Linked DNA regions of Oreochromis niloticus. The main gene of each other region encodes a partner of the protein of the gene in region 3 in a complex. Links are inferred from orthologs where the notes say so. Each region holds a gene or a part of one and is shown on either strand. Other genes may lie near its edges. The genes, in order: cdk2ap1, cdk2ap2, mta2 and chd5.

Evidence for each region.
Region 1: mta2 (region 3) and cdk2ap1 share a complex: the UniProt entries of both Homo sapiens proteins name them as parts of the nucleosome remodeling and deacetylase (NuRD) repressor complex. The link is inferred for Oreochromis niloticus from reciprocal best matches to the Homo sapiens genes MTA2 and CDK2AP1.
Region 2: mta2 (region 3) and cdk2ap2 share a complex: the UniProt entries of both Homo sapiens proteins name them as parts of the nucleosome remodeling and deacetylase (NuRD) repressor complex. The link is inferred for Oreochromis niloticus from reciprocal best matches to the Homo sapiens genes MTA2 and CDK2AP2.
Region 4: mta2 (region 3) and chd5 share a complex: the UniProt entries of both Homo sapiens proteins name them as parts of the nucleosome remodeling and deacetylase (NuRD) repressor complex. The link is inferred for Oreochromis niloticus from reciprocal best matches to the Homo sapiens genes MTA2 and CHD5.

Annotation. Positions count from the first base shown.
Region 1 is NC_031972.2:11,489,417-11,496,924, forward strand, and holds the start of cdk2ap1 (cyclin-dependent kinase 2-associated protein 1), read left to right. Parts: upstream 1-4,505; 5' UTR 4,506-4,633; coding exon 4,634-4,700; intron 4,701-7,508. Other genes in the region: sbno1 (protein strawberry notch homolog 1), read left to right, coding at 1-51, 297-439. UniProt on the Homo sapiens protein: Inhibitor of cyclin-dependent kinase CDK2. Also acts as a component of the histone deacetylase NuRD complex which participates in the remodeling of chromatin.
Region 2 is NC_031971.2:21,309,298-21,316,382, forward strand, and holds the start of cdk2ap2 (cyclin-dependent kinase 2-associated protein 2), read right to left. Parts: upstream 3,014-7,085; 5' UTR 2,866-3,013; intron 1,918-2,865; 5' UTR 1,817-1,917; coding exon 1,762-1,816; intron 1,478-1,761; coding exon 1,386-1,477; intron 555-1,385; coding exon 434-554; intron 1-433. UniProt on the Homo sapiens protein: Acts as a component of the histone deacetylase NuRD complex which participates in the remodeling of chromatin.
Region 3 is NC_031967.2:3,171,847-3,179,061, forward strand, and holds the start of mta2 (metastasis-associated protein MTA2), read right to left. Parts: upstream 3,015-7,215; 5' UTR 2,639-3,014; coding exon 2,611-2,638; intron 1-2,610. Other genes in the region: eml3 (echinoderm microtubule-associated protein-like 3), read right to left, coding at 4,261-4,467, 4,891-5,021, 5,128-5,226, 5,315-5,402, 6,394-6,491, 6,880-6,968. UniProt on the Homo sapiens protein: May function as a transcriptional coregulator. Acts as a component of the histone deacetylase NuRD complex which participates in the remodeling of chromatin.
Region 4 is NC_031970.2:11,663,430-11,670,943, forward strand, and holds the start of chd5 (chromodomain-helicase-DNA-binding protein 5), read right to left. Parts: upstream 3,007-7,514; 5' UTR 2,354-3,006; coding exon 2,287-2,353; intron 1-2,286. Other genes in the region: rpl22 (large ribosomal subunit protein eL22), read right to left, coding at 3,614-3,755, 5,861-5,985, 6,265-6,372, 6,785-6,796; rnf207a (RING finger protein 207), read left to right, coding at 6,795-6,920. UniProt on the Homo sapiens protein: ATP-dependent chromatin-remodeling factor that binds DNA through histones and regulates gene transcription. May specifically recognize and bind trimethylated 'Lys-27' (H3K27me3) and non-methylated 'Lys-4' of histone H3.

The DNA.
Region 1 (7,508 bases), on a different chromosome or scaffold from region 3:
TAAAGGTGCAGATTGTCCGGCTGAGAACCGAAGATGGGCAGAGGATAGTCGGTAAGTTAAGTGACTGCTGTACTAAAGAAGTTCATATTTTGGAAACTAGTCTCATTTTTTGGTAGAGTTGGCATCGCAGCGAAACTCCTGGTTTTATGTTTTGTGCCTTATTATTTAACAGACAGACATGTGACATGGTATTCTAACACTTAAGAGTTCCTTTTTAATTGCGGTCCTCTCAGATGTGTAGACACCCAGCTTATTCTCAGACCTTTTTTAAAATTTCTGTGTTGTTTTTAATGCAGGACTGATCATTCCGGCGAACTGTGTGTCTCCGTTAATTAACAAGCTCTCAACATCGGACCAGTGTCAGCAGCTGGCTGTGCAGGAGCAGCAGAAGCGGCAGCAGCTTCACCCTCAGAGTCTGAGCCACACACACCACACATAGTTTAGGGGCTTTAATCCCCATCTCTACCCCTTAAGTTCACATCCCTCCCTGAAGGGATCTCTCTACACTGCAGGCTCCAGGACCTTGTGCACAACCCTCACTGTTCCTGAGGGTCAGAGGTGTGGTACCAAGCTGTGGTGACACTCGGATGTAAAGCAGTGGTTGTATAGAGAAATGTTCTTTTTCTTACTCCCCCCCCCCCCAAAAAAAAAAATTGTAATCTCCAGAGACTCTTCCTTTCACCTGGAGATATTTGACAGGTGATGTATTTTCCTCTGACATTCAGAGTGAGAAGATTTGTGACTTTAAGAGAGCATGTTGATCTGAGTTATCCACTCCTCACTGATACTTTACCCTGTTTTACCCCAGAACCACCTCAGTATGAAACAGAGACTTTTTGTGGGTCTGGACCAAAAGTAGATGAAGCAAAATCTACGTTTTTTTCATAGTCAGAGGAAAGTCTCAGATGGGCATATAGTGCTTAACTACAATCACATATTAATGTATGCTAGAGACTCATTATATTAGATATTACCCAGCACTACTGCAGCGTAAGAATTTTTGTTTTTTTCTGAAGTAGAAAAAGTGATGCAGTTTACTGCAGGAAACCTTTTGCTTTTGGGGGGGCACTGTATCTGGCATATTTGCTCATGAGACGGTGAAGACCAAATATTCTTATTGTCAGGTTCCACTTCCTTCTAAAATCAGGCCAATTTCTGTTTTTGCTCATCTGTTTTTCACACAGGTCTCAGATTCCTCAAAGTTCCTTGGTTTGTTTTAATGTCTAACTTGAACATTTTGTTCCTTTTTGTCCATGTTGGAACTTGATCAGCCAGTTGTTTGTGAACGTGCCTTTGCGTGAGTACTTGGAGCTACAGCAGTTGGGCACCTTTACAAAGAAATGATTTGGTTATTTTTGCATCAGCTATCCTCTGACTTCTATCCATATATATATGGGGTGTTAAAATGTTAGAGATGATGAATATTAAGCGAACTGGGTATAATAAATACAATTTAGTCTTTATTAAAGTATTGAAACATTTAATAAATGGTTTATGGCCTTTATTGTAGCTACAAACATATGGTGTTAAGAGTTTATCTCCTCATGTGAGGGCATTTAACATTACTATACAGTGTTTCCCTTTACTATCAGAGGCTTTAAGGGGCAGGTGGTGAGAAAAATGCAGAGACCATAAATTACTGCATAGTGCAGTATAGACTCACACTGCACTGAAATGAAACAAAGCACATAAATTAGGCAACTGTAATGATTGTTTCAGTGTCATCATTTGTTCAGACGTGGCAGCATTTGAATGCTCACAAGAAGAAATATTGTAGACAAAAGTGCTAAATAATTAAAGCTACATTACAGTGCTGTGAATCAGTTGTTGAATGTTTACTTGATGCTTAAAAAATTTTTGGCAATAGAAAAATTTAGGTCACAGTTTGGGGTCGGGGAAAACTATTTAATATTGTACTCCTTTCCAATCCATTACAGCAGTTTTATTTCTTGACGTGGTCTTTAGCTGGCTGCTATTAAAACAGAGAAAATGGCAAAAAAATGGTTAGTTTTTAAAAAAGATAAAGGGTTCCTGAAAAATTGTGAAATGCATGTTGTTGACAACAGCCTTTTTCGTGTGTGCGTATGTTCAAGGTTTCACAGCAGTCTGCATCACTGTGTCCTTCTCAGTGTTTTTTTTTTTTTTTTTCTTTTGTTACTTTGATTTTTGATTTATTTTTTTTTTTTGTAAATATAAATCTGCTCAGGGGTTAAACTCATATGAAGACCCAAAACACAAGAGTTTTACAGTGTATCGCAAATGCATGATTAGAACTCAGTGGTCCTTGGACATCTTTGCTCAGTACAGTTGCTCTGTGTGTGTTTAGCTGTATTTACAGCTCGTATGTGTCAAACATCCAAACATGGTTCTCCAGTTTCTCTGCTTTCTTGAGCTTACTTGTAATTAAGGTCTGTTTGTTGTACAGTCCACTTTTTCTGTTGAGCCTGTACCACCTCAGTCATATGTTGCGTGATGCTCGACCTGCCCTGGAAGGGTCAGACCAAAGTCTGGATACGTGAGCTGTCCCAGTGGTGATAATTAAACGGAGGATGTGTTTGAATCCTAAACCTGTGGAGTGGTTACTGTTAGGTGGAACAAGAACAAATCTTTGTATCATTTGTACAGTTTGTAAAATGAGTCAAACTGAAATTGTTCATGCATCCTTTTTTTATTTTATTTTATTTTTTTTTTATGGTGGAGGGAGAACTTATTCATTAGAGCTTGCTCTCTAATTGGAAGTCTCATTTTAACTTGAATGTGCACCATGTACAGACCAACAACTCATGTTATTTTATCTTTTGGGCTGGTGGCTGACTTGGAAACTTTTTTTTTTTGTCTGTTAGTTTTTTTTTGTTTTTTTTTTAAATGCTGTCAAAATGTCATGGCAGATTTGGCTCATCTGAAGTTGAAACACTTGAAGGACTTAATTTTTTTTTTCCTTTCATTATCGCACGAGTTGCACTACTGACAAGAGTTGTACAAAAGTTCAAAATTACCTGTATATGACTGAGTGCAATGCTCAATAAAGCTTGGTATACTTCTACATTGTTGTGTGTTATAATACTAAAAAGCTACTTCATTACATTGCATATCTGGAGAATTCTATAGACTACAGTTACAGATGATTGGACTTGAATTCTTCCAGAAACATCAGTTAATCGTTTATCAAATAACAACAGCAACTAACAATTTGAGATGACAAGTGTGGTATGTTTGTTTTTTGTTTTTAATGCAGGCACTTTGTATTTTATTATTAAAGGCAGTAATGCCACTCTTAAAAGTACTCCTATAAAAAGTAAAAATACTGCATGTGAGAATGCTGCGAGGTGCTTACTCACTTTATTTATTCATTTATTTTGATGCTCAAAGTACAGCTCTGTGTAGTTCATAAGTGCAGAAAAAAAAGCATTATGCATGCATATTAAAAGTGTGAGGTGTATATGAGCATTTATAGCTCTATTACTTTAGGTGTTGCTAATAAACTGGCAACTAAGTATATAATGCCATTACATATAATTCCCATACACATAAGTTAATACAAAGTGCATTAAACAAAAGCATGGTGAAATACTCCCAGAAAGGCCGTTAAGATTTTTTTATGGAGCGATTCTCCAGCTCCTTAAAATGTCAGACTATTTAAGTTTTCTAAAATAATAATAATAAAAAAAATCTATAAAAACTGCTGTCTTCTAAACCTCAAGCTTTATATGGTTGTTTTATTGATAATTTATTGATATTGATAATGAGCTCCCACTGCTTGCATTGCGCCAAGATTGCAATTACCAAAATTAGAAACATTTATTTTGAAATGATTTAACACTAAACAGTGCATTTTTCACCCTGTTACGTGCGCCTTCTTTTGGGGGGGGGGGCACAGAGCGGGCAGGGGTCCGGGTCATGACCCTGAGAGCCACGATTGGACCACACTTTTGCCTTTGTGTGGCCAACCATGTGGCCAAAAGTACTGATGGGACATGAAGAACTGAAATGACTCCTGAGCACATTTTTGAAAAACTGAAGATAAAGTCTCCGAAATAAGAGCGCCTGCTTCCAACTCCAGTTACTTTTCTTTTTAGGTAAAAGCAGACGGCTATCAGTAGTAATGGATACGACCCCTCAGACAAAGACAGGTACGCTGGTGTTCTTTCATACTTTATCTTAACCAAAAAAAAAAAAAAAAAAAAATCTATTAAAAAATTTGGGTGAGTATAAAGTTTAACCTCAAATACATGTATCCACGTCTGGTTGCCTATTCTACTTTAAAAGTCTGGTTTCTCCTTCATAATGTTGTGTAAAAAATTTAAGTTTAAAACATCTAAACACATATCACGTTTAAACACTTTTTGTTAAAAAAGTCTTTTAAAAGTGTCGTTAAAGTAAACTCAGGGATAAAGGTTGGCAAATGTGCTTAAAATGCGTGTTAAAGCGTGCGCGAATTTGGTCGCTTTGTGGTGAAATGTGCTTCTTTTAACCGTTTTCTTGATAATCCGCAGTGGATAGTAGCAATGTTAAAAAGCACAGTGGGTGTCAATATAAAGTGACGGCCATATTTGCCGGTGCCGCTGTTGTAAACAAAAAGTGAGAGACAGACGCTTCACTGAATTTCGGGTCATTTTTATTTCTTTAATTTACAATGTCTTTGGGAATGTCTTACAAACCCAATGTCCATCAGCACATTCCGGGAACTTCTGGGAACCAGGGTAAGGAAAAAACGGCGGAGAAAATCAAAGTATCCGTCTGTTAAATCGAGTGTTAAATTCGGGGTCTCGGAGAATACCTGGAGAAAGACCGTGTCTGTAGTTTTTGTCCAGTTATATATATAGGGTCAGATCCTGGGAGCTAGGCTAATTCATATCCGCCATTATTACTAATGTAAAAGAGCGCCATCCGCGATACAAGTCGGCGAAGAAACACGGTGGGGATGTGAAAGGAGTCGGCGGCGGTTCCTACAGTGTCGATATCCGTCGTCCGGGGTCGCGGTCCCGCCGGGTGGGTGCCGTTACACGGTGACAAAAATGTATCACTTATGTCTTCTTGAGCCAGCCTTGTTCCGTTTCCTCCATGATGCTCCTCGGTCGGAGCTGCCGATTGATCTGCCTCGAATTTTTTTTATGTCTCTTCGAGGACATCTCGTGTTGGAGGTTGAATATTACAGGCGAACAAAGCGACAGGGGAGCGGTGATTATGGAGGTGCATGTGCGTGGATGGAAGTGTTCAGATCCCCAGTTTCTTTATGTTACCAGCCAAAACATAAAAAATACAAAAAATCAATCTGCTCAAAGTAAAGGTATCTGTTATATAGAGAAATGTATGGAAGTAGTGGGAAGAGTTAAGAATTAAAAGAAAGAAGAAGAAGGGAAAAAAACAATAGGAATTGTCGTTCCAAGTCAAGCTAACGGTGGTGTACAGATTGTAGGTATTTGGTAAAATTGTAATTCAAAAATTCTATTAGTAACAAGGGAAATAATTTCTATTTTTAGCACATGAATAAAGTGCAAAAAATGATTTTTTTTCCCTGACTGACATTCTCTTATGAGATTGTTAATATTGATGTTTCAGTGCTTTTGCAACATTTTACCCATTTTACTTCTACTTGCTTTACTTTAGTCCAGAGGTAATGGGTCCAGACAATGACAGATATATCTAAAGGTCAATCCTTTGTTTAAACTTAAATTTCATCTCCATTTTCATAAGACTATGGCATACCAAAGATGATATCACCTATGTCCAGCATAACAATTTTTAAGTAGTTTTTATAGCTTCATAAGCTGCTGATTAGCTTTATCTTTAATAGTACTGACTAAGTTTTTAGTAGGTTTATATTAATCTACTGTACTGTAGTCTTAAACCACCTATCATTTCTTTATATTTTGCTAGGAAAATGGGAAATGGATGTAGAGATTTATTGAATCATGTGCAAACATACACGGGAATACAGTATATAATGCAAAAAGAGAGTTTATATAATTCCAACAATCTCGAAAGTCGAAGCTTTGTTCTTCAACACAGCCTTAACTCTCATAGGAGCTAGGAACATAGGAACACTGCTTCAGAGTAAGGGGGGGTCAGACTGACTGTGTTCCAGTAAATGTTTTTGTATCCAGGTATGCTCTACTCCAGTGGCAGTGTGTTTGGGAACATTATCATGGTGAAAAATGAAACGTTTGCATAGTGGATCAAAATCTGACGGTACTTTTCTCCGTTCACAGTCCATTAATTTTGACAAGAGCCCCAACATCACTGGCTAAAATGCAGCCCCAAACCATGACAGAGCTTTCATCCTGTTTTATAGATGGCTGTAGCGCTCTCCTGACCTTCTCGGTACACAAACTAAAAATTTGAACTCCCTGTTGCTGGTGATTTTCAGCCCAGTTCTTGTGTAACTTGGCATACTTGAGCTTTTCCCCCCAGTTTCCCTTCCTTAAGAACAGCTTCTTGACAGCTACGCTTCAGCTGAGCCTGTTTCTGATGAGGCTTTGGTGAATAGTAGGTGGATCACCTGAAGGGCCAGATGCATCTCTCCTGTGACAGATTTTTTTTTTTTTTCCTTTTTCTTAAACACATGACATTCAGATAAGATAACCCAGGCCTAAAGATAGCTCTTTAGGCCTTTGCTCCACTTTTGTCCTCTAAGTTCTCCATATTGGTGTAAATATACTCTATTATACCTGACAAACTGTGTTATTGTTGGCATTTTTCATAGTCATCAAAGATGTTTACTTCTGCAGCAGGCTGCTGGTAAAAAAGTGCCTCAAGACAGAATTTAAATTGGTTCTTTGCTAAGTTCTCTGTCATGTAGTAACAAAACTCCTTGATAATTTAAGTTTTGTGCCTTTTTTCGCTGCTTGAGTGATTCATAGATCAGTGTTAGGTGGCTTCACAAAGAAAAAGAACATTCCTTTGAAGGTGATAAGGTACAACGACTGGACTGAACTTTAAACAACCTTCAAAGAGAAGTATTGTTCAAGATGACTTTCAAAAATGATAAAGTCTGTCTTCTTGGAAGAAAAGTATAAAGGAATTAGAAATTACTGCTAGAAAGAGAAATGACTGCAATGAAAAGCAAAGTTCACTGGCATACTCATCTCTTTTCTTCATGTCTGAGGTCACTGAATGGGTGGTTTGATAAAAGGTTTTGAGTGTGATGACAGTAACAAGCACTGCTGCTGTTGAAACTAGAAAATCACTTCACCCCCGCCTGGGCTCACTTTCTTGCGGCGTTGTACTTTTAATGTTTTCTGTGTGTGTGTGTGTTAGAGAGGAGATACTACACCTGTGAGAAGAATAAATGCTGCTTGTGGTGAATGCTGTAGCATATTTCATTCCCACACATGTTCCTAAAAACATTTTACAGTGTATGCATCTTTTCTTTAACTGTAATGTGAAACATACGCACTGTCAAGCCCTGCACCATCAGCATCACCTCCCTGCTGTTTCCCACAACACAAACACTGAAGAGCCTAACATGCTTCCTTTGTGAAACTGCTGACTATAAGAAAAAAAACGGC
Region 2 (7,085 bases), on a different chromosome or scaffold from region 3:
CTTTTAAATGCATGTATGCAACTCAGTTTCACTAAATTCTTCACTGTGCCCCACACTTTGAGAAATGTGTCTTAATGGATAACTGACTGTGATTAGTTATTCCAGCTTTCATGGGGGGCTTTACCTGGCAACTTTCTTATAAATGTGGATATTGGGCTTTAAGTCTTCAGCTGGAGTCGGAGACAATTTTTTTATATAAAAGGATAATAACAGAGCACTGTTACTGCAGCAAGTAAATAACCATTTTCAGAATAAGCTGTGTGAAATCCACATGCACCAAAGAGCTAAGAAAAGTGAAAAGTTCACCAGTCTTCCTCTGATTTGCATAATAGATGCATTAAAAAAAAACTTTCCCCCCCCCAAAAAAACGCAACAACAACAACAACAATGATCTGAATCCTACTGATATGCACTTTTGACTACTAAAACATACCTCTCTTTAGCCTCTCCATAGCGCTCTTGCTCCCTGCGTATGTGGGCCTGATCTCACGGCTCATCTCCTCAATGACAGACAGGAGCTCACTGTAGGTGGACCCTTGGGACACTTTCACAGGCTGTTTGGGAAAGTAGTAAAAAACGTTAGTCATTTCACAGTTCCACATACACGCCAGACATGAATGAAAAATGTAGATTTTTTTTCTTTTTAAGAATGAGATGAAAAATATGTCAGTTTGTTTTTTACAGCAGATGTAACGATGATGAAGTAATTATAACACTGCAATGATGTAGTATTGTAGTGTTTAAGTATTCACTGCCTCATCTAACAATAATGTAAATGTCCCCATGTCCTCTCAGAACTCTTTTGAAATCAAGTTCCTTTCAGTGGTTTCAATTTATGCTAATGAAACATGCTTCAGTCAAACAGTAACCACCTTCCACTGCCAACAATATTTACTGTACTTAATCAATATAGCACTAATAACTAGTGCAGAAAGGCACATTTTTTTCTACGACCTTATAGTGACTTTACTGATAGACATTTCTATAGTATCTTCTTGTATGTTGTTGTAACGCTTTAACTTAACTTACTTAAACTTAACTGTTTAACTCCTAATGCTTCTCTTTTTGCTGGATGTATGGGAACAAAAACAAACTTCTGTGCAGCTTCAAATAAAGGAAAATGACCTTTTATCACACCTTTTAGAAATAATTCAGCAATAGCAAAGAGGTGAATTTAATCAACCCCAGGCTGGGACATGAGTGTGAAAAGTATGTGAATACACAAGTTTTTTTTTTAGTTTATTTACTCAGTTAAGGGCTAGTATTGACATAAGCAGAGTGGTTGAAAATCCATGTTTGGTGACCTATGCTTCAGTAAAAATATGACAACTCTTTACTAAAGCAGTCTGTATTCAAGTATCAGAGCAATTAAATTGTTGTTGTACCTGAACAAAGCCCATGGAGGGCGGGCCAAAGTCACTGAAGGCTGGCCTGAAGTTGGACGACGATGGAAGAGATGGAGAGGGCACAGAAGACCCTGGCCAGAGGAAGAGAAGAGAAGAGAGAGAACACATTAAAGGCTGAACCTAAAACACAAGCAATTTTGTTTCAAATGTAAAATATTAAAAAATAGTTTACCAATACAATTGTGCTGTATTGTTAATGACTGATAAAATATTGTGTGGGGCAGCACTGGTTTATGAAGGCAATGGGACTGTTGACCATAGTCACAGTGTGAACTGTTTCATACATACACACCACAAGAAACTGACAACATGCTAATAACGGCACTGCACAACATTAAAGCTGGTCCTAAAGTACCTGGTGGAGTGTGGTTGGAGCCAGATGGTGCAGGAGCAATGGGTTTGTAACTCATGGCGATTTCAGCAGGCAGCTCCCCGTACGACGTGCCGCTTCCTTCGGTCCCGTCAACCCGATACTTATACAGCTTTACAGGTGATGATGAGCTCCTAAGAGCTAATGCATAAAGATAGACAGAAACACAAATGCAATTCAATCCATGAATAGAAGGAAGCAAAGGAAGTTGTGAATCACAATAATCAGGAATCACCATCAACAACAGTCGGTGAGGAAATCAGCACAATAGACCTTTATTTAACAGCAGTAGCAAGACTTGTCGGCCTGGATGTGTTTGGGAGCAACGCAAACATTTTTAATGTAAAACTGGAGCACGTTTGCCTTAGGTCACACATTACACAACAAAATGTATGACCTGTCAGTGGAAACGTTTCTCATTCAGGTTGCTTTTGCAGCAGAGAGATGAGAAAACCGACAGGAAACCAAGGTCCTCACTGCGGACATTTTATATTCTGTGCTTGCACTGTATGGGAAAGTACATTAAATCTTCCTATTCAGTCAGAAAACAACAAGTGCCATTAAAAACATACCCATGCTCGTGATAACCACATGGGCCCTCTCAGGTCATCTAAGAGTCCGCTGGACTCTAATTTAACAATTTGCAGCAAAAACATCGTAATTACAATACAAGTTCCCTAATCTGTCAATGGTACTCTGACTGGAGAGAACCATAGCTTAATATCAGACTACACTGAATGTGTCAACCTGTGAAATGTACTTGTTTTGTGTTTTACGCCGACTCTAATGAAGCTTTTCATAGGCTGGGTGTGTGTGAATGTGGTCACTCAAAGTCGCACGAGCGGAGCTCAGAGGTGCTCAATGAAACAAAAGCTGACGTTAGCATTTACATAAAGCTGCCAAGCTAACTACTACTTGGTTAGCCGGATTAGCTAGCTTTTGCCGGTTACCACAAAAACATAAGTAAACCCCAACCAAACAGGCCTGCCGTTTACATTCTAATACAGACAGTGAATATTAATAGCGTTAAACTAAACTTGTGACCACCGATGACACCCGAAACGATACAAAAAAGTGGCAATTTTGTACCTTTTTAAGGAGACGTGAAATCCTCTGTGGGACGCGAGCTCCGACTCTTCCTCAGTGACTGAGTCTGCGCAGACGAGGTAGTGGGCTGTTGGTTTTTTTAATCTTTACAGCGATTTGATTGGTCGGTTTACATGTGACATATGTCCTAAATGTTTTCATCACCAGAAACTACTACCGCGCCAAACCCGCGTCATACGTAGCGAAAATGAAAATACGAACGCTGAAACAAATGGAAGATATAGTTATATATAAATACATTACGATATTTAGGAGAGAAATTCTTTCCCATTTACATAATAATTAAAAAGTCTGGAAGAACTTTTAGACTTTGAAACATTGCTGAATAGTTAATATGAAATGGGAACATTTTACTCCTTGATGTACCTTCGTTTTTCTATTTTCACTCCCATATTTTATATTTGAATATATAATTGCTTAACTTGATTGAATGCTTTACTCATGATACAATTTTGTTCCCATTGATAGATTAATACATAGCTAATGTTTTTCTTACAATTACAAAATACAATTCATGCCAGGGCATCATATTTCAGATAGATAGATAATCAAGGCTGAGAAGGTCTGGACATGTGCAGAGCAGGAATAAAGGATATACTGGACAAAGGATGTTGAAGGAGAAAAAGGGAACGATCAGAGGGTTGATGTGACAGAGAAGAATGCAAGGGACAGGGTGAGATGGAGCCAGTTGAGCCGCAGCAGTGACCCCTTAAGGGGAGCAGCCAAAGAAGAAGAATAGGATCACAAAAGATGTCATTTTTGAAGTGCTTCAGCATGTTTTCCTGTAGTAAAGTACCAACATTCGAGTTTAAATAAACTGAGCTGAGCTTATGATAACTGTATGATGTTAAGTTTTGATGTTGATGATGTTAAGTCCTAATATGCTGTAATAGTTCTCAGATAAACTCAGTGGAATAAAAAAAAAGATACAAATATTCCCTCTGAAATATGGGAGTTGGAGCATGAAGTCAGAATACTAAGGTAAACTACAAGGACCTTAAAAGAGGTATAATAATTCATCAGGTTATTTATTTAATTTACATTACCTGAGGTGGTGGAACTATTTGAGTTTAGCATACAGATTTGGCCTCATCTGCTACAAAAGAGTGAACAGACAACTATGATTTTGTGGAGATGCACTGTCATCATGCCCCTGCTGTAACATTTTGACCCTCTGAAGTACTGGAACCAAACACTGCAGCACAGTGCTCTTGCTCTTGACGAAGGCGGTCGCACTTTTCTCCTCTCCTCCTCCTCCTCTCCCTTAGCTTCCCTGCTTAGCCTCTTGTGTCCTTGTCTAGTCTCGTGTTTTTTGTATTACTTTTCCCTAGAACACTCTCTCATAGTCTGTTCTCTAAAACCTAAAAGAGAATTATGGATTTGATCAACTGGTCTCTGAATGCAATTGACACCCCTTTCTCAACGAGAAGTTTGGGCTTGGGTGAGCCTGAGTGCTGAAGATAGCTACCTATTCGGAACCATCTCGGCAGATATCTACCTATTCGGAACCATGGTAACAGGGTTCTGGCTGATTGGAGCTGGCTTGTCCCTGACTTACCGGAGAACTAAGGAAGCGGAACCGGCTGTTCAAACAGCAAGGCCGCCCGCTGGGATTGAAACGATGGGAAGAGGCGTGAGTTTCTCAAAATGGGCTCATTGAGTGCAGCATGGATAAGATCTTAGAAAGGCTTACGGCTGCCGTGAATACTCAGAATAAGATCTCTGAGTGCAGACTGGATTACATCTCGGAAGGGCTCGCTCGGCACAACATCTCTGAGCGTAAATTGGATGACATCTCGGGGAGGCACACTGTCGTGAGTTCTCAGAATCGGCTCTTTGGGCACAAGAATGACAACATCACAGAGCGCAAGTATGGCGAAGCTCGCGGCTCTCCAACGGGAGATTGAGAGACCAGTGTTGGACTGTAGAACTGCTTGGAAATTCATATGAGCTGTTCGCACTAAAGTAAAAAGCACCATCACTCATACAGATACCCCTTCGGCGCCAGCTGCGGTTGCAAGGCTGGAGCTGAACAACAACACCCTGATAACGACTGTGTTTTGACTGTTCTTCCCTTTCTATGCAAGGCCACCTGGGTTGGCTGGAAGACTGTTTACTTAGCCTGGCAGGGCGAAGGACACTGTCTCAGCTGAACTCTGGACATACACACACACACACACAGACATATATACACATGCAGACATACACTCATCCCCCCTCCAAACGCCTTCGACGCTTATTCCCTTCCGATGCTGACGGTGGATCAAGGAGACCAGCGCATAGGCTGCAGGCCCGGATGTACTGTCTACACTGGCTGTCTCTCACCCTTTACCCACCCCTGTTGCTTGTCATGTGTTTCTTTGGTGTATTAAGAGTTTTTTTCATGTGCTATGTGCAGAGGTGTTTTTTTTCTGTTCTCAAACTGATCTCCCTGTTGGAGCTCAGTCTGGGGGGAGTTATTTTTTTCTCCTTATCTTTCCTCATGTGGTGCATTTTCCATTGTTATACCTCTCTGACCTGTCTTCCCCATGTGATGTTTGTGTAATGTATGTATGGTCGGAGGGTAAGATGGTGCCGCCATTGCGTGCAATAGGTCGGCAGGCTTATGAAATTTCCCCTTGTGGGACTAATAAAGGCATATCATATCATATCATATCACAAAAAAACCCATTTGCACTTCTGTATCATTACATTTTGGCACAGGTGGGAGATGTAATTATGGATGGAAAAGAGATCACTTTAACCTGCTCCAAATAACTCACCTATCATCTTAATTGCTGTTTTGACAATGCACTTATTTGCAGTGTGAAAATGATTTTTGCTAATTTGCAGCAAGGCTTTACTGTCTGCATGTAATGACAGACATTACTTTAGTATCCTTACAAAAATTTGCACACTGTGTAAATTGTAAAAAGAAAACACAAAATAATTATTTGCTAATTAGTAACATTTTGAATGTATCCGAAAACACAAAGTACCAAGACAACATTGCAAATGTTGAAACCTTGTATTTTCTTGCTTTTTGAAAAAGATTTTTTAATTTAATGGCACCAACACCTTTCCAGAAGGCTGGGAGCATTGTGTTGCATTGCGCTGCATCTCATCTTTTTTTTAACAACGCTGTAACCCTTTCAGAACTGAAAGGATCAATTACTGTTATTTTGAAAAGAAAGAGAATTGTTTTTCCATTCTTGCTTGATACGCAGTACTGTTCAGCTTCTGAGCAGCGCCTCTGTGACATATTTTTCAAATCATAGGTGTTTTGCTGAAACACGCAACACCAATAAAAAAATGCTGTCTAGATTGCAGTATATCTGGGTGCAAACTCTTAAGGCTACATATACAGGAATATGAAAAAGAAAGTGTCTAAAATACTTTATCCAGTCCTGTTAAAAACTAAGTACACATTTACTTCTTTCCATAGGAAGTAAGTGCATAAGTAGCAGCTAGGTGCCGATAATCAAATTCACTTGATTAATTGATCATCAACAAGTATGACCAGCTCTGTCAAAGCAGAAGTTTGGGCAGTTTGATGACAACAATGTCAGTCATATTTATCATATTTATTTGTTCCCATTGGTCACTTTGGATTGATGCCTGTGACAGAAGTCTCTTCCTGTCTAATGAGGGTTCTTCCTCCTTAATATCGCCGCCTTTCTACTGCTTAGAGGGGATCATCTAATCCTAGGGCGGGCAATACATTTTCCCAAGTGGCCACATGTGAACGTCGAACTGTTGTGAAGGGCTGCACCAATAAGCTGAAGTTAATTCAGCTCGCTATTAAATTTATCTCTTTGTAAGCTTATCGGAGTTGCCCTCCACAACAGTCCCAGGAAATATTGATTGGCCACCAATGATCTGTAGAGTTCTGTCTTATACGGTGGGTCTTTAACTTGCTATTTCATGCATTTTAATGAGACTTCCTCTGTGAAGTGGAACTGTGGAAATAAAAACTAAATTTTAATTTAAATCTTTGTTAAACTAATTGTGTTAGATTTATAGGCCTCATCAGGACTCACGATTTCTGTGTTTAATAATTATTTATTTAATATATTATTTAAGATGGTCCTTTCTTGGCTATCAGCAAAGACAGTTACTATGAAAAAACATTCTCACTGTTGTGTTGTCTCTCATGTACATTTCAATTGTAATATGACGTTTATAATTCTTTTTCTTTATGACGCATCTGTTTTTTTTCATGC
Region 3 (7,215 bases):
AAAAGTGCCTTATTCACTGTCCATGAATCCATGTCCTTCAGCCACACGCTGAGAAAAGAAAAGTTCTGACATACAAAAAGCTGAAGTGAAACAAAAACAAAAGTGTCACTGCAACCACCGTCGGAGCGTTTTTCTCCATTCTCCCGTTTCCTGTAAACTTTGCTCCCTTCTCTATTCCGGCCCACTTGTCAACCAGTCAACATTCAGTAGTTCCAATCTAGATTGTGTATGTGAACAGATACGTGCGGGACCATGAAACCAGCTTAATACAGAGACAGACAACAATCCACAGCTACAGCCAGTTTAGAATCACAGAGTGGGTAACTCAGTAAGTACCCACACAGAAAGGTCCCTGCTGGCTGGATCAGTTCACCAGATGCAAAATATTATAAAGCCTCAGTGACAAGAAAAACTGAACTCTTAAACTGAAGTTTTTAGTTTTTAAATACAACTGTACAGGTGTTTATTTTTACCCTATAATTGATTTAAAATACACATAATGATGCATTTAATAGTCTTTGCCAATGAAAAATCCTGTTCCTGGGTTTATGGCTCATTGATGCAGCACTGTATGTGGCATCACACTATTGCCTTTATTTCCCTGCACAAACTTGATCCAGCAAGGTGGCTGGGACAGATCCAGCAGCTCTTCCAGCCCCTCTACAGTCAAACCACAAAGTGATGGAAGCACGTTTGTCAATGTGTAACATATAGAACGTATGACACAGTATTGTAAAAGAAAAAAATTCTCATCCTGAGGAAAGAAAACTTCATCTTTGTTCAAATGTGACTCAAATCAACACTTGATTTTCACACTTAATTTTCTGACAATTTTCCATATAAACCTTCGTCAACAATTCTCTTTAGCTAGTGCATGATCAGTGCCAAGCTTTGTCTTCTGATGCTTTATCTCTTCTATAAATTCCAATAATTAGCTCCAAACAATAGGTTTTTGTCTAGGAACCCACCTTACAAAATTACTACAATTTTCTAGATGATATTTCTAAATTGGCTCTCCTTCCACATAGCGCTCTGTTGCTCTCAACAAAAATAAAACCCTGCACATCTCTCCACAAATAGTAGCTACAATAGCAGTGATCCTAAAGCCGAATGGTCAAGTGTTTTAGCAGCAACATACGTGGATCCATGAAACTGCACTGCTGAAGTCAGAGGAGAGAAACCGGCAATAATATGCAACATACACACACACAAAAACACACGTAAGTGTGTGTATTTTTGCGGGTAAGTGATAAGAAGTTAATGGGGAAAAAAAACCCCACTTTAACTGTTCAAACATTAAGCGCAGAAATATGCAGCATGTTTTGCAGAGCATAGTTTAATCGCTATGACCTAAATACCCCACACACTCGTGAGACTGCGATTAGCCTTCCCCCCACTCAAAGATTTTCAGTCCACCCGTAGCTAGCACCGTCTCCGAGGCTTAGCACTGAAAATGTTTCACAATCAACACTGAAGCCCAGAATCAACTGTCCAGATGATCCGACTGGAAAACTAACAGTAGAAAACAGCAGCTTGCTTTGTATGAACCATAGTTTAGTTTATTTTCTGACGGTGCAAAGCAAACTCCAAATGAACTGCATCTTATAAATGCCTGCCACTGGTGTCGCGGGGGGCTGCGAAAGATAATATTAATGACTAATTACCTGATTAATACCGCCGACATACCAGTTTCCTTTGCAGTCATGAAGTACTGATAAAACATTTTTAACAAACGAGAACTTAACGACTTATTACCACTTAACTTGGTACAAATTCAGTCGTTCACTTGCAGGTGTTCCAATATAACTGTCCACAGTCTGTAAACTAAATTCTTAACACAATTTTAACTAAGCTCTGGTAGTACCGCTATTACGCCAAGCTAACAGGACTTAGCAGCCAGAATTAGCACATCTAGTGATATGGCGGAGGCGATAATGAAATTAACCTACCAGCCTGACACAGCTAGCAGAGCGGTGTTAGCAAGCCATCACAGACGTCACCAAATTTAGCTAGATGCTTACTTCTCAACAGCCAGCAGCTAATGCTAGCTAGCATTGTGTTCATTTTGAGGACGTTATCAAATGTATAGACTACACGTCAGAGAATTGGACAATTTACTGTTATTTCGCTTATCTATAACCACCACATATGTTTGGATCTCCTGGATCCAGCTGGCTGGATGGATTTATATAAATACAAACTTTCAGAACCGGTTCATGCTGTGCGACGGCCGCCCTGTGGTACGGTACTATGATGGCGTGAACTAACTGGGATATAACACAGATCTGTTCTGAAAGTTGAACTTTAAAACAAATATACACTGCTCAATGTATTGTATTATTATAGTCCGAACACAGAAGCAGCTCTACCTGGCTACAGCTGTGTGGAAACCAAATCAATGTGAAGTTATTTACGTCTGTCTGTAAGCTAAGTCATACTACATTGTTTCGGCAGATCTGACGGTCTTGATGAAAGCCCGGAGTCGCGCAGCGTACGCTAGCTTTAGCTAGCTGCTAACAGCAGAGACAGCTAGCGGCTAGTTAGCCAGCTCCCAGTAGAAGCGAACAATCACGTTGAAGGGGTGTCTTAAAAATGTAAACCATTCCTTACCTCCCACTCGGTACATGTTGGCCGCCATTCTCTCGTAACCTTTATCAGAAGCAGTCCCAGGGTATTCCCCGCTTGGGTAGAAACAGGTCGATGGGAGTCTATTTTATTCCTTCATTTATCGTCAACACCCCCGCCGCGAAACAAAGCCGGCTCTGGGTACAACAAGAGAGCAGTGGCGGGTAAAAAGTTGAAAGTTTCCGCTGGCGACGCTCCGGCAATTATCTCCAAAAATAGAAGTTTATATTTTCTCTCTCTGGCGACCTTCCTCTCCTCTTCTTCACTCACTTATTCACATACAGCTAGCCTGTCTCTTACTCCACTCTTCCTCCCATCCTCCGCTCCCAGCTTCATCCTCCTCTTCTTCACCTCCGCTCAGTTCAGCGCGCGCGCACACACAGAGACAAACACACACACACACACACACAGCCCCCCCCCCCCCCGCTCGTGTACAAATCGTCAACTTCGGATTTTGTCGACAATCACCGACGTCTCACAGTCAACTTGTTCACCGGCGCTGGTTTAGTGACACAGACCGTCTGTTTTATGAAATGAACGACACGCTAAACTTACTTTACTGCTTGTAGTTTAAAAAGTGTCGCAGGATGCTTACCGGAAACAAACGCTTATTTACAAGATTTACACACAAACACAGGCTTTAATATTGCAAATTCAGAGAATATACAGACCAGTCAGTGTAATGATGGCAGCAAATGTGCCCCAAATAGGTCAAATTTTGAATGGACGGAAGCTGTTAAAAAGGAGATACAAGTATTATAAACAGTTATGTTTTTCTTGTACAGGCTGCTGGTAGTGCAATAGATGGCAGTGTTGGAGAGCAAATCAGTTTACTGAAGCATCACACCTAAAGGCAGTTAATGATTGAATTCATTTTATTCAATTAATTTTATATTTTCCACCTTAAACCATGTACCTTTACTGCATCCCAACCGGAGGGCACCACAGACTTTACTGCTGTCTTCAATGAAAACACATTTGTTGAGACTTCAGTCCTAAGTGTTCTCACCTGAGACCTGTTATTTAGGAACACACTCACAGGTTCTGGAGTGGCACTGCCCACTAGTGACACTTCACACACAACACACCTCTGAGTCTTCTCTCATTTATTTGGAGCTCAGCTGATACGACATCACAGTATTGCCGACGTTCATTTAAATACATACAAAACTGCACTAAAGTAATAATTTTCAAGTGTACTGATCTACTGTTAGAGAAATGAATTAGTAAGAGATGCTGAGTTGATTTTAATGGGACAGGCCTGTCACAGTCTAAGCATATAAAAAGTTGAGATTTTAACCAAACCTTGTTTAAAACATGTATAAAATCACGTGCACAGGCACTATGGCAGTGCAGCACTGTTCTGCACCAGCAATCAAACAAGAACAGTTCTCACCACATACACAACAGAATGACGAGGATTCTGTCTTATGGGAAACATCACACACACTGTCCAGTTTCACAAGGATTTAAAGCATAACATTAACATGGATGTTCCTCCTGAAGAGGATGTTCTGCATGAAACTAGCAGCAGTGTCAGTCCAGAGGATATACTGAGCCCATAACTCACTTCGATGCCTCTGCGGCTGTAAGAAAACAGCCTGCTTTCCCTCACTCTTATAAGCAGCCGTCTCCCTAGCTGGTTGCAGGTTCTGGAGAGCTGGTAGAGGTGGATGAGGCCGAGGCCAGTCTTTCCTGGCTGTTACCCACCCCACCTCCAATCACCTTCCACTGAAGGATGCAAGTGTCCTTCCCGCCAATGGAGAGCAGGTGAGAGTCACTGTGAGTGAAGCAGACGTTGGTGACGTGGCTGCCGTGGCCCTCGTACTTGTGGCTTGGTGCCTGAAGAGAAAAGAAGCAGGTCCACTTTGGGTCAGCGCAGAGGAAGGCCCATCATATCCCAGTCCCCCGCCCCCCAATTTGTCTTTCCAGACTAGGATAAACACCTTTCTACAAGGTTCCTACTGTTAATGCTGAATCTGGACTGAATGTCCCACAACTGTAGTGACAGCACTACAAACACAGCGGGCTCAGGGTCTTAGAAGATGTGACCTGCTCTTGAAAACTGAGCAGCTTATTAAATCAATCCGTGTGTCATCTGAACACTGCTTTAATGAACGAATACAACTGTGTACAAAACCGTTAACGTGGGTTATCTGATCTGCTTGAGCTGGACTGACTTTGGCAAACGGTTTAACTGTTTCTAACTCTTAAAACTGGCTCACTTTCATCATTTGGTTCTTATTTAAAAAAGAAAATAGTTACCTTGAGTTTAGGACAGGGGTACTGGAACAGATGAACCTTACAGAAATCATCAGCCACAGCCACCATCTTCTCGTTGTGGGAGCGACACAGCGCGTTGATGTCTGTGCCGTCAGAGCCTTCCAGCCACACACCTGAACACCACAGTACCACACTCATCAGTCTGATTGGATAAAAGAACTCCATGACGTTAATGCAATGCTAAAGGAGGACAACAGCATTTTGCTTGGAGTTTCTCACCCATCACGTGGAAGCCTAGCACACAGGTATAAGAGGCCCATTCTCTGTCTTTGCTCTCAAAGCGGTTCCTCAGCAGCTTACATCCTGCTGCTATGTCCCCTGTTAAAACACAGTCACTAAGCTAAAGAACGTACTGCATGGCATTCCTATAACAGCACTAAAAGCACAGTGCTGGATGTTCACTTACAGTAAAGGATCTCATAGTCGCCTGAATTTGACATGATGTACTTCCCATCTTTGGACCAGTCCAGGTGAGTGATGAAGCTGGAGTGGCCCTGATCGAACAGATAAGCAGACAGAGTGTCAGTCATATTAGCTAAAGCAAGCAAAGCTTTTATTCTGGATTTTCATCAGAAAACTCCATAAACGTCTTTGGCATTAATCTCCGTGTTTGCAAGCTCCATACCACACGTTGCATATGAAAGATTTCCAGGTCATTAAAAGTGAAGTTAATGTTCAAGTGCATTTAAACGGCATTCTTTCTAATGTCTAGCATGAGTATAATAATAGCAATAAGAAATTACAGTGGACCAGCCTAAAAGTAACAAATACATGAACTATTTTTAACAGATGTTAGATAGCATACTGCTACAATTTTCAGGGCCGAGTACAATATCCTCAGTTTGATCTGAATTTATAAGCAGAAAGTTAAAGACAAAGACCTGGATGGCCTCTAAGACATTCCTGCAGTTTAACTAATTGGTGTGTGTTATCTGGCTTCATGGACAGACAGAGCTGACTGTCATCTGCATAGCAGTGAAAATGTATGCTATGTCTTCTAATGATGCTGCCTAGGGGAAGCATGTATAATGTAAACAGAATTGGTCCTAGCACTGAACCCTGTGGAACACCATAATTAACCTCAGTGTGTGAAGAGGACTCTCCATTTACATGCACAAACTGGAGTCTATTAGATAGATATGATACAAACCACTGCAGCGCAGTACCTGTAATACCTACAGCATGTTCTAATCGCTGTTATAAAATATTGTGGTCAAAAGTATCGAACGCTGCACTGAGGTCTAACACAGAGATGAGTCCACTGTCAGAGGCCATAAGAAGATCATTTGTAACCTTCACTAAAGCTGATTCTGTGCTGTGAAGGTAACGGTCATTCCACTGATCAGTGTGATTTGTAATAATATGTGGACAACAATGGAAGTCTGTACACAAGATTTATTGACAAGAAGGAAAATACAGCACTAGAGCAGGCTCATATTTGATGGAGATGTTAACCAAGAAGAAATAATTTAAAGTTTAACTCACATTACATTTTCCAAAGCGGGTGTAACGCCTGCCACTCTCTGTCACACTGTAGATGTAGATGAAGTTGTCATGTGATCCAACAGCTAGGAAGCTGCCATCTGAAAAGCAAGCGGTCCCTCACAGTCAAAGAGGATTCCCACTGTGAAACTTTGGTACGTGGTACCCTCTCTATTCGTTTCCTGTCTCTCTGTCTACTTTGGCAAATAAACAAAATCAATGCACAAATAACTCATAAACTATGACTGCGCATTTTTTATGACTATAATTTATTTGGCTTCGGAGAATGAAAATTTTAAACAAAAAACAAAACAAGAAAAAAATCTTTTATCTGTGAAAATAGTTTTAAGCTTTAACTCAAAGTTTACTGCATGTTTTTTGTGTGAAGGAGATCATTAACTCCAACTCCATGACCACGTGGTTGGATGTGAACACCACCCTAATCTGTCACATCTACAGTTAAGATAGGAGGAGGAGTTACTGACTGACCTGGTGAATATCTCATGACAGACAGCTGCTCATTCCCGTCAGTGGATTCAGAAACTACCTCCCTGGTCAGCAGGTCAAGGACCATCCACCTGTCAGTGTTACAGGGGGTGGAGGAGGATCAGCAGGATACAGGCAGACAGGTGGAGAGTCAGAGAAAAGAACACACTGGAATGCACATGGCTAAATTCTCCATCTACTGTACAGGAAGCCACAGATCAATGCTTCCTAACCTTTCTTTTAGTTTGGAGCTTAAGTTTCGTTATGTGTTGTTTGTCCGTTTCTATTTCTGTCAGTTTGTCATAGGATTAATAAAGAAGTGTATCCATACTGATGCAG
Region 4 (7,514 bases), on a different chromosome or scaffold from region 3:
CAGCACTTCAAAGCCTCAGATGTTCAAGAGCTTTATAACACACATGCGAAATGAGCAAGGATTGTAATTTGGCAACTCAGTACTGTGACAACTGCTCACAATTAAACCACCGAAGTAGTGTCCCAGTAAATGGCTTTTCGTCACTCTGTAACGAGCAATACCTAATACCAATGCAACAGACACACCAGCAAGATATTTAATAAATAAAACGTCTTGTGCCTTCTTTCACATGTATTCTATATTCCGCATCACTGCATTATTTGAGCAACACTTAAGACGAGGAGGGCCTGCTGCTGGAGAAAACATTGCATTGGATTTTAGAAGCTTCATTTCATGCTGAATCTACACTGACCGGCCAATAAAAAGCAGTCACACACTCACATATTTCATTTGAGCACCTTGAGCTTTGATCATGGCCAGCATTCATCAAGGCATCATTTCAATAAGCTTATGCAATGTCACAACACCTATTTCCACCTAGAGCTGTGTTACTTTCATGCCTTGTATTGGCGATGGGCTTGACAGTCTGCTAAAATCTTCTCTAGCAAATCCCAAAGATTCTTAGAGGGGTTAAAGTCTGTACTCTGCGGTGGCCAGTCCCTGTTGGAAAATGATGTCTCGTGCTCATTGAATCGCTCTTTCAGTTTTAACCCAATGAATCCTGGTACTGTCATCCAGGAAAATGTCTTTGTTATCAGGGAAGAACACAAACCACTGATGGAAAAACCTGGTCATTCAGTATATTGAGGGAGTCAGCTGACCTCATTTTTGGGGGGTGATTTGACTTCACTGAAACTAGCTCTCTGATCCAAAGCAGGGCTCTTACTTTCCGACCTTTCTGACTTTTGTTTTTGGCTTTGGAGTGTATTTTACAACCACAAACATTTTCCACATGGTAATGTGAAAGTGAAGCAGAGGGCAAAGCAGGATCTTTTAAATCTTGCCCTTGACATCAACCATCTGATGTTTGGAGCAAGCTATAAGAACTTTAAAATAAAAGGAACTTCAATGGCTGCACGGGACAATCTTATGTCTGGATTCAGCTCAGCAGGCTGCAACAAGAGGGCACTTCATCACCTGAGCTGCTGCATCACTAGATCAAGAAACCAATCATTAGCAGTTCAGAACTGGGTTTGTGTTACGCAGATGAAGATTCTGATGCCTGCTCCTTGGTGTACATTATGGACCACACAGTTAGCAATTTGAGTAAATGTCACAAGTAAGCACAGCCATGCCTGCCAAAAAAACTAAGACTGGGATTCCCCTGTGCCCTAGGATTGACACCTGCCAGAAAACCTAACAAACTTACCAGCCAAAAGAAAACAAAATGGCCAAAATTTGGCAAGTATCTTCTTGTGCATGGTCATTAATTAGGGAATCTTAAAACCCCCTGTGACTTGATTTGATCTTGACCATTTTTTTAAAAAAAAGGGAGGAAACTGTAAGAGCACTGAAAGCTGGTTCACTGCCAGAGTTGATGACATGTTCATTTTTCAGCCTGGAGAATGTTATTGCACAGGTTCTCTTGTATGAAGTTGCCATGTGAAATGAATTAGCAGCACGCAGAGAATGTGGGTTAGAGTTAATTCCAGTTCGCGCACGACCCAGAGCTGAAGGGCTGCCGGTGACCTAACCGGTGTCATCAGCGCGCAAGGCAAAGGAGCACACTTGATAAGCTCTGTTTACTGTAGCCCACACGTGGCTTTCACACCTCTGCGGCCATGCAGTGGGAGAAAAAAGAATTAAAGTTGAAACAGCTTCCTAATCACGAGCGCTAACGGCAGCGCATCATCCACAAAATGAACACGCACATTGTCACCGGAGCCCCCCTTCTTTTTTTCCACAAAAGAGCACATCCACGAGCTAAAAAGGGACAGAAAATCGCCAATGCACACACTGACACGGAAACGAGCAAAGTACGGGTTTTTTTTAACAGCTCTCTGAACAAAACTTGTGTTTGGACTCAAAGCCATTCACTTGTACACGCATGCAGCCTGTGAAAGAAAAGGCAGCCCACAGAAACCATGCAGCAGCGTTTCCATCGTGCCCCCAAATCAGGATGAATGTGAGGACAGCTGTGGGGGGAGAGATTAAAAAAAAAACCTACAACCCTTTGCCACCTTTAAGACTGTAGGTCGTCCAAAAAAATAATAGCATGACTCTGCTTATTGCACCCCACCCCTCCTCTCCGGTCTCAGGAACGCAGGACAAGCCCTTTTCCCCGCATTCAAGGCGTAGCGGCGCAAAATTATCTGAAGGACACCCCGCCTCTCCCCTTTCCCTCACCTGGTATATCGTCTTCAAAATCCATGTCGTCTTGTCCCTCGTCTTCATTGCTCAGCGACCCCGGCATCTTTATCTCATAGCCCCCAAACCCCTTTTAGGCTGGGAATACTGAAAGTTAACCCTCCAGACGCCGCAGCACAGTCTCTTTCTTCACCCAAAAAGAATAGTATTCGTCGCTGTGAAAAATGTAAGATTTTTTTTTTATTTCTGTGCAACGAACATGGGGCTTTCTCTCCAAGAGTAAAATAAAAAAAATAATTTTTTAAAAAATATATATATTTTCCAATGATCTCTATCCAGGTCTTCCAGTCTGAAAAATAAGAAAGACAAAAATGGAACACACATGCCCAGATTGTGACGTCTGGTCTGTTGCCATGACGATGCATCCCATAATTTCACCCACAACTAGTTAGTCATACTCTCCTAGTTACCACTTCAACTAGTAGCGTGCAAAAAAATGCACATCGTGCGCCGTGTGCTGCTAATAGACGGATGCACTCCCCGCGCCTGTCCATTTCCTTTTGGAAGTCCGGAGAATTGAGACAGAAACTTCTCCCACTTTCTCGCACAGCTGCTGCTCTATTCACTCACAAGCTCCACTTCAAAGTGTGTCTGCAGGTGGAAACACAGCACTGCTTTCTATTTTGAAGCCAAACCGTTTGTGTATACGGACGCTTTGGTTGATTTAGACGTCAATTAAGGCATAAAACCCCCAACTAACAACCACCTGACTCGATTTCATCTTGCAAGCGTCCACACTGTCCTGACAAAACACACACAAGTGCAGGCTGATGACTGCAAGCTGTGAGGAGTCCTGACTGCCAGTGGTCTAACTGTTGTCAAGGTTACCACAGCTGTATCACAGGATGCCCCACAGAGAGCTGAGCAGAGGAAGTATCAGCTTCAGCGTCACTTTATCTTTTATCAAAATATACAAATGAAAGGCTGAGAGTCCCAGCTCATCCCACATGCTGCAGGACTTTAGGGGGGGATGGGGGGCAATCACACAATGCAAATAAACCTTTTTATAACCAGATGACAAAAAAAAAAAACACCATCCCACATCAGAATAAAGAACCAGAAAACATTCCTAAATCTAAAAATTACAGATTTATATGCAATTAAAGTTGTCATCATGCATCTAAATATCGAGGATTATTTTTGAAAAACGCTAAATGAAATCAGAGTGTACAGTCACATGTTCATATCTCTGTTTTTATCGTCTGTGTGGGATCCAGATAACATAATCAAACCAAATGTTTCCAAATAAAACACAAGACCATCAAGGGTTTTCTCTCGAAGTATTTTATTAAGAGTGGCGTAAGGTTTAATCTTCGTCCTCTTCCTCCTCATCCTGGTTGATCTGGAAGTAGCGCAGCTCATAGCTCTCCTTGGTGTTAGCTACCACCCGCAGCCAGTCCCTGAGGTTGTTCTTTTTCAGATACTTCTTGGTAAGATACTTCAAGTACCTGAAAATGGAAGCAGAGAGCAGAAAGAGTGTGAGTCAATCTGCCCTTAAATTTCACAATTTATGTACCGAAAAGCAGCAAAATCCTGCTGTTTTTCTAGATTTATATTAAGGTGTAGAAATCGTTAAACACGACGTACAACAGTTAAAACTCTCAGTAGCCCAGATGCACAAAAAACAGCTCTGTGTGGTTTTTGCCATAAACGTGACCAGCAGAAAAGTGGGGATCACAAAATGAATTTGCTTTAGCATCAGCTCTAACCTAGGAGATCTCCACTGGTTATATCAAATGCTTCATTTAAGACTGAGAGTGCCACAGTCCCCCTCTGGTGGTGGTGTTTAAAATTTACTGAACAATTACAGTATGAAGTGGACATAAAGGTTGTTAGGGAAAGTTCCAGAAATGCACACAGGCCCACATAACCCAACATTTAAAACATGTGGATTAGCTGGGCATATGTATGTTTTGCAACTTTGCTACAGCCAATTTTAAAAAGGAGTTCAAGTACTTTAATGATCAGATGTATAATACATATACCATTATTATATCTAGGTTATTATATAGTTAATACTGTTTATTGTCCAAATAGAACATTAGAATCATTATTAAGTGGTGGCTACAGCCTAATAAATATATATAACGAGATAACAAGATAACCATTTTGGCTGTGCCACTCTAATCAGTTACATTAAGCACTACACTTCACAATAACATCTGTGTTTCGAAGGTGCTTGAGGCAACTGTTGTTGTAATTTGGCGCTATATAAATAAATCTGAATCGAAATTCAAATAGATCTCACTTTTAGATATTAGTTTTGGTTTTTTAAAATATTCACAAAACTTCAGACAAATCCACAATTAATACAATAATTCTGAAACTCATTGTGTTTAGACTGTTTCATGTGTTCACAGAAGAACCTTTAAGCAGCAGGCATGTTTCTTCAGAACTGACTGCCAGAGGACGAGACCTCCACAGTAGGCACATGTCACCAGAATCGATACTTATGGTACCTTTCAATACCAACATTCTAAATACACGGTATTTGTATTTTCTTAGTACTGTAGGTACTGTAGACACAGAATGTACACATTATGGTCAAAAAATAAATATTCTACTTTGCTTTCTGTACCTGACACACAACGACACCTTAGTGTGTACTGACCTTACAAAATTTATGCTACAACCTACCTCTTTTTTTGTTAAATCAACCAACAGGAATGCAACACGAAATTAGGCACTGATCAATGACAATTTCACACACAAAAGAAAAAGGTGGCAGTAAAATTTGTGAAAAAGGTAATGAATTCAAGCATAGAAGAAAATACTGTGCAGTTGGGGCAGCATGAGTACACATTAAGATGACACACCATAGGAAGAGACCATAGTTGTGTGTCATAGCCTACAATTCAGTCAGTTTTTATTGTTATGTCTACACACATCAAACTTGATGTTATGCCCATATTAGGATGCAGCAGGACCTTGTTGCACGATGTGGCAAGCAATGATGAACTTATCTGATCCCTAAAAATCTTTTGTTTTTTAAGCATTTTTATGAGATTTCTTGGCTTCTCACATAAGGTAGATACTCTCTAGTGGTGTATCTGTCCAGAGTATTTATTGCCACACTTGTGTGAAACCAGCTCATGTAATACTGGATAAATGTACTTGCGCTGCAACTGGAAAAAACATCAGATCACAAGCTCTCAAATAAGTGGGAAACCACAAAGACAGCATGATCAGTCAGAAGACACATTCAGGCTGAGTATCAGTAAAATTTTGCAACCACTGTGTAAGTGACAACCAAACACAGCCATATTTGTTTGGAGTCTTCTCATGTTTGCTCATTAAGTCTATTACAATATTACTGTGGCTGAAATGTCAAATGCGTTTCATTTCCCTCAAAATTATATTCAACAGGATTCTGCATACTTCTCTATTCCACACAAACAACAGAGATTTTCTTTAAACTTAACATTTGTCTTTTTAGGCCTTGTAGCAAGCACTGTGCAAAGCATTTACTGAGGGTTGCTGGTATAATGGCAAATGACTATGACCAGTCAAATAATACAATATGACATAGTTGCACTGTTTTTCTTTTATTTACCTCTTTGAGAAGGGAACTTCAGAGTTCACAGCAATTTTACTCTTGCTCCTCTCAATGGACACCACACCACCACCAAGATTTCCAGCTTTGCCGTTCACCTTGATGCGCTCCTGCAGGAACTGCTCCTGCATGTGCAGAGGACACAGCAAGTCACACACAGCAAGCACCAGAAATGAAGGCCTCTTTATGAACGTACAGATCAGTTTCTTATGAACATATGACTGACATCCGTCTTTTTTTCCCTCTCTCTTTTCTTTTAATATCAACTGACTGGAACCTTAATACAGGGCTTTGATTGATGCCCCTTATTTGACAGTAGTGTCTGACACAGAGCATTTGTGTCTGACAGCTGCTGCACTGATTACCAGACAAGATGTCATTTCTGTCAGAGGTGATCTACTCACGAAGTTGGCAGCATCCATGATGCCATCCTCAACAGGGTGGGTGCAGTCCAGGGTGAACTTCAGGATCTGCTTCTTCTTCTTCCCACCCGGCTTCTTAACCACCTGCCTCTTCTAACACAAATGGAGAAAGTTGCTTAAACTCGGAAAAACCCCAAAGCGAAGCGTAAGGAAGCAGCAATAGTGTTCAGATATCTTTATTAGCGGTTAGTCACAGCGTGTTCAATGTGTTCCAGACATTTTATACTAGCATTTTAAGTAAATATCGTAAAAGAATGTTGCAAAAACCACGAACAACTGTTTACATGCACCCTGTTAACCCTCACGTCGATCGCTGCTAGCTTACGCTAACAGTTAGCAAAACGTGGTTTGAGACGAAACGTTAAAAAAGGCAAACAAAATCGCGCGTGAACACTCGTTTCTTCTATATTACTGTGCACACGTATATACACGTCTATAAATGGAAAGACAAGCTAAAATAAGTGGCCTGTGTGCACTTTTATTTGGTCGTGTTACTACTCACAATCGGAGCCATGGCTGACAAATTCAGCGAAAAGGGAAGGAGCAAAGGCTGCACGGGAAATATAAGAGCCGGCCGCAAAATCGATCGCATCGACTTTTCTAGACTCGATTATGTCGCACTACATAGAAAAAAGAAGGTACGAGAAATTGTTTATGCCACTTGCACTAAATGTTAACTTTGTTCAGACGCGAACAAAGTTGTTCAGACGCGAACAAAGACGCGAATCAGTAGTTTGTCAGCTGGAGTGGAACCAGACATAGAGAGATTATTGCACTTACAACTATAAAATTCCTGGATCAGCAGAAACGTGGCTAAAATGTTTAATATAAAGTATAACTTGTAGATTTAATGGGGGTTTTAAAACCTTGATGTTGGGCCAAGTAAAAAATAATAATACTATATTTATTTTTAAAAATGTTTTAATTTTGATATTTTTTTTTAAAATAGCTGCCCAGAAAAGTGCATTTCAAGATGGCTGCGAGACGCTACCCTAGCACTTAGCTACACAGCTTCCTGTTAGGTGCGTAGTTAAGTATTATAGGTTTTAAAAGGGAAAGATACATTTTTTTAGAAAAGTTGAATAACATCAAACACATATGTAATAACCTAACTAGCATAATGAATTATAAAAGAAAATAATAAAAGATATTCTACCATTATTATTATTATATTATAAATAGTAATAGTAATGTAATAGTGTTATGCAGGTTATCAATATACCTTCAAAGGT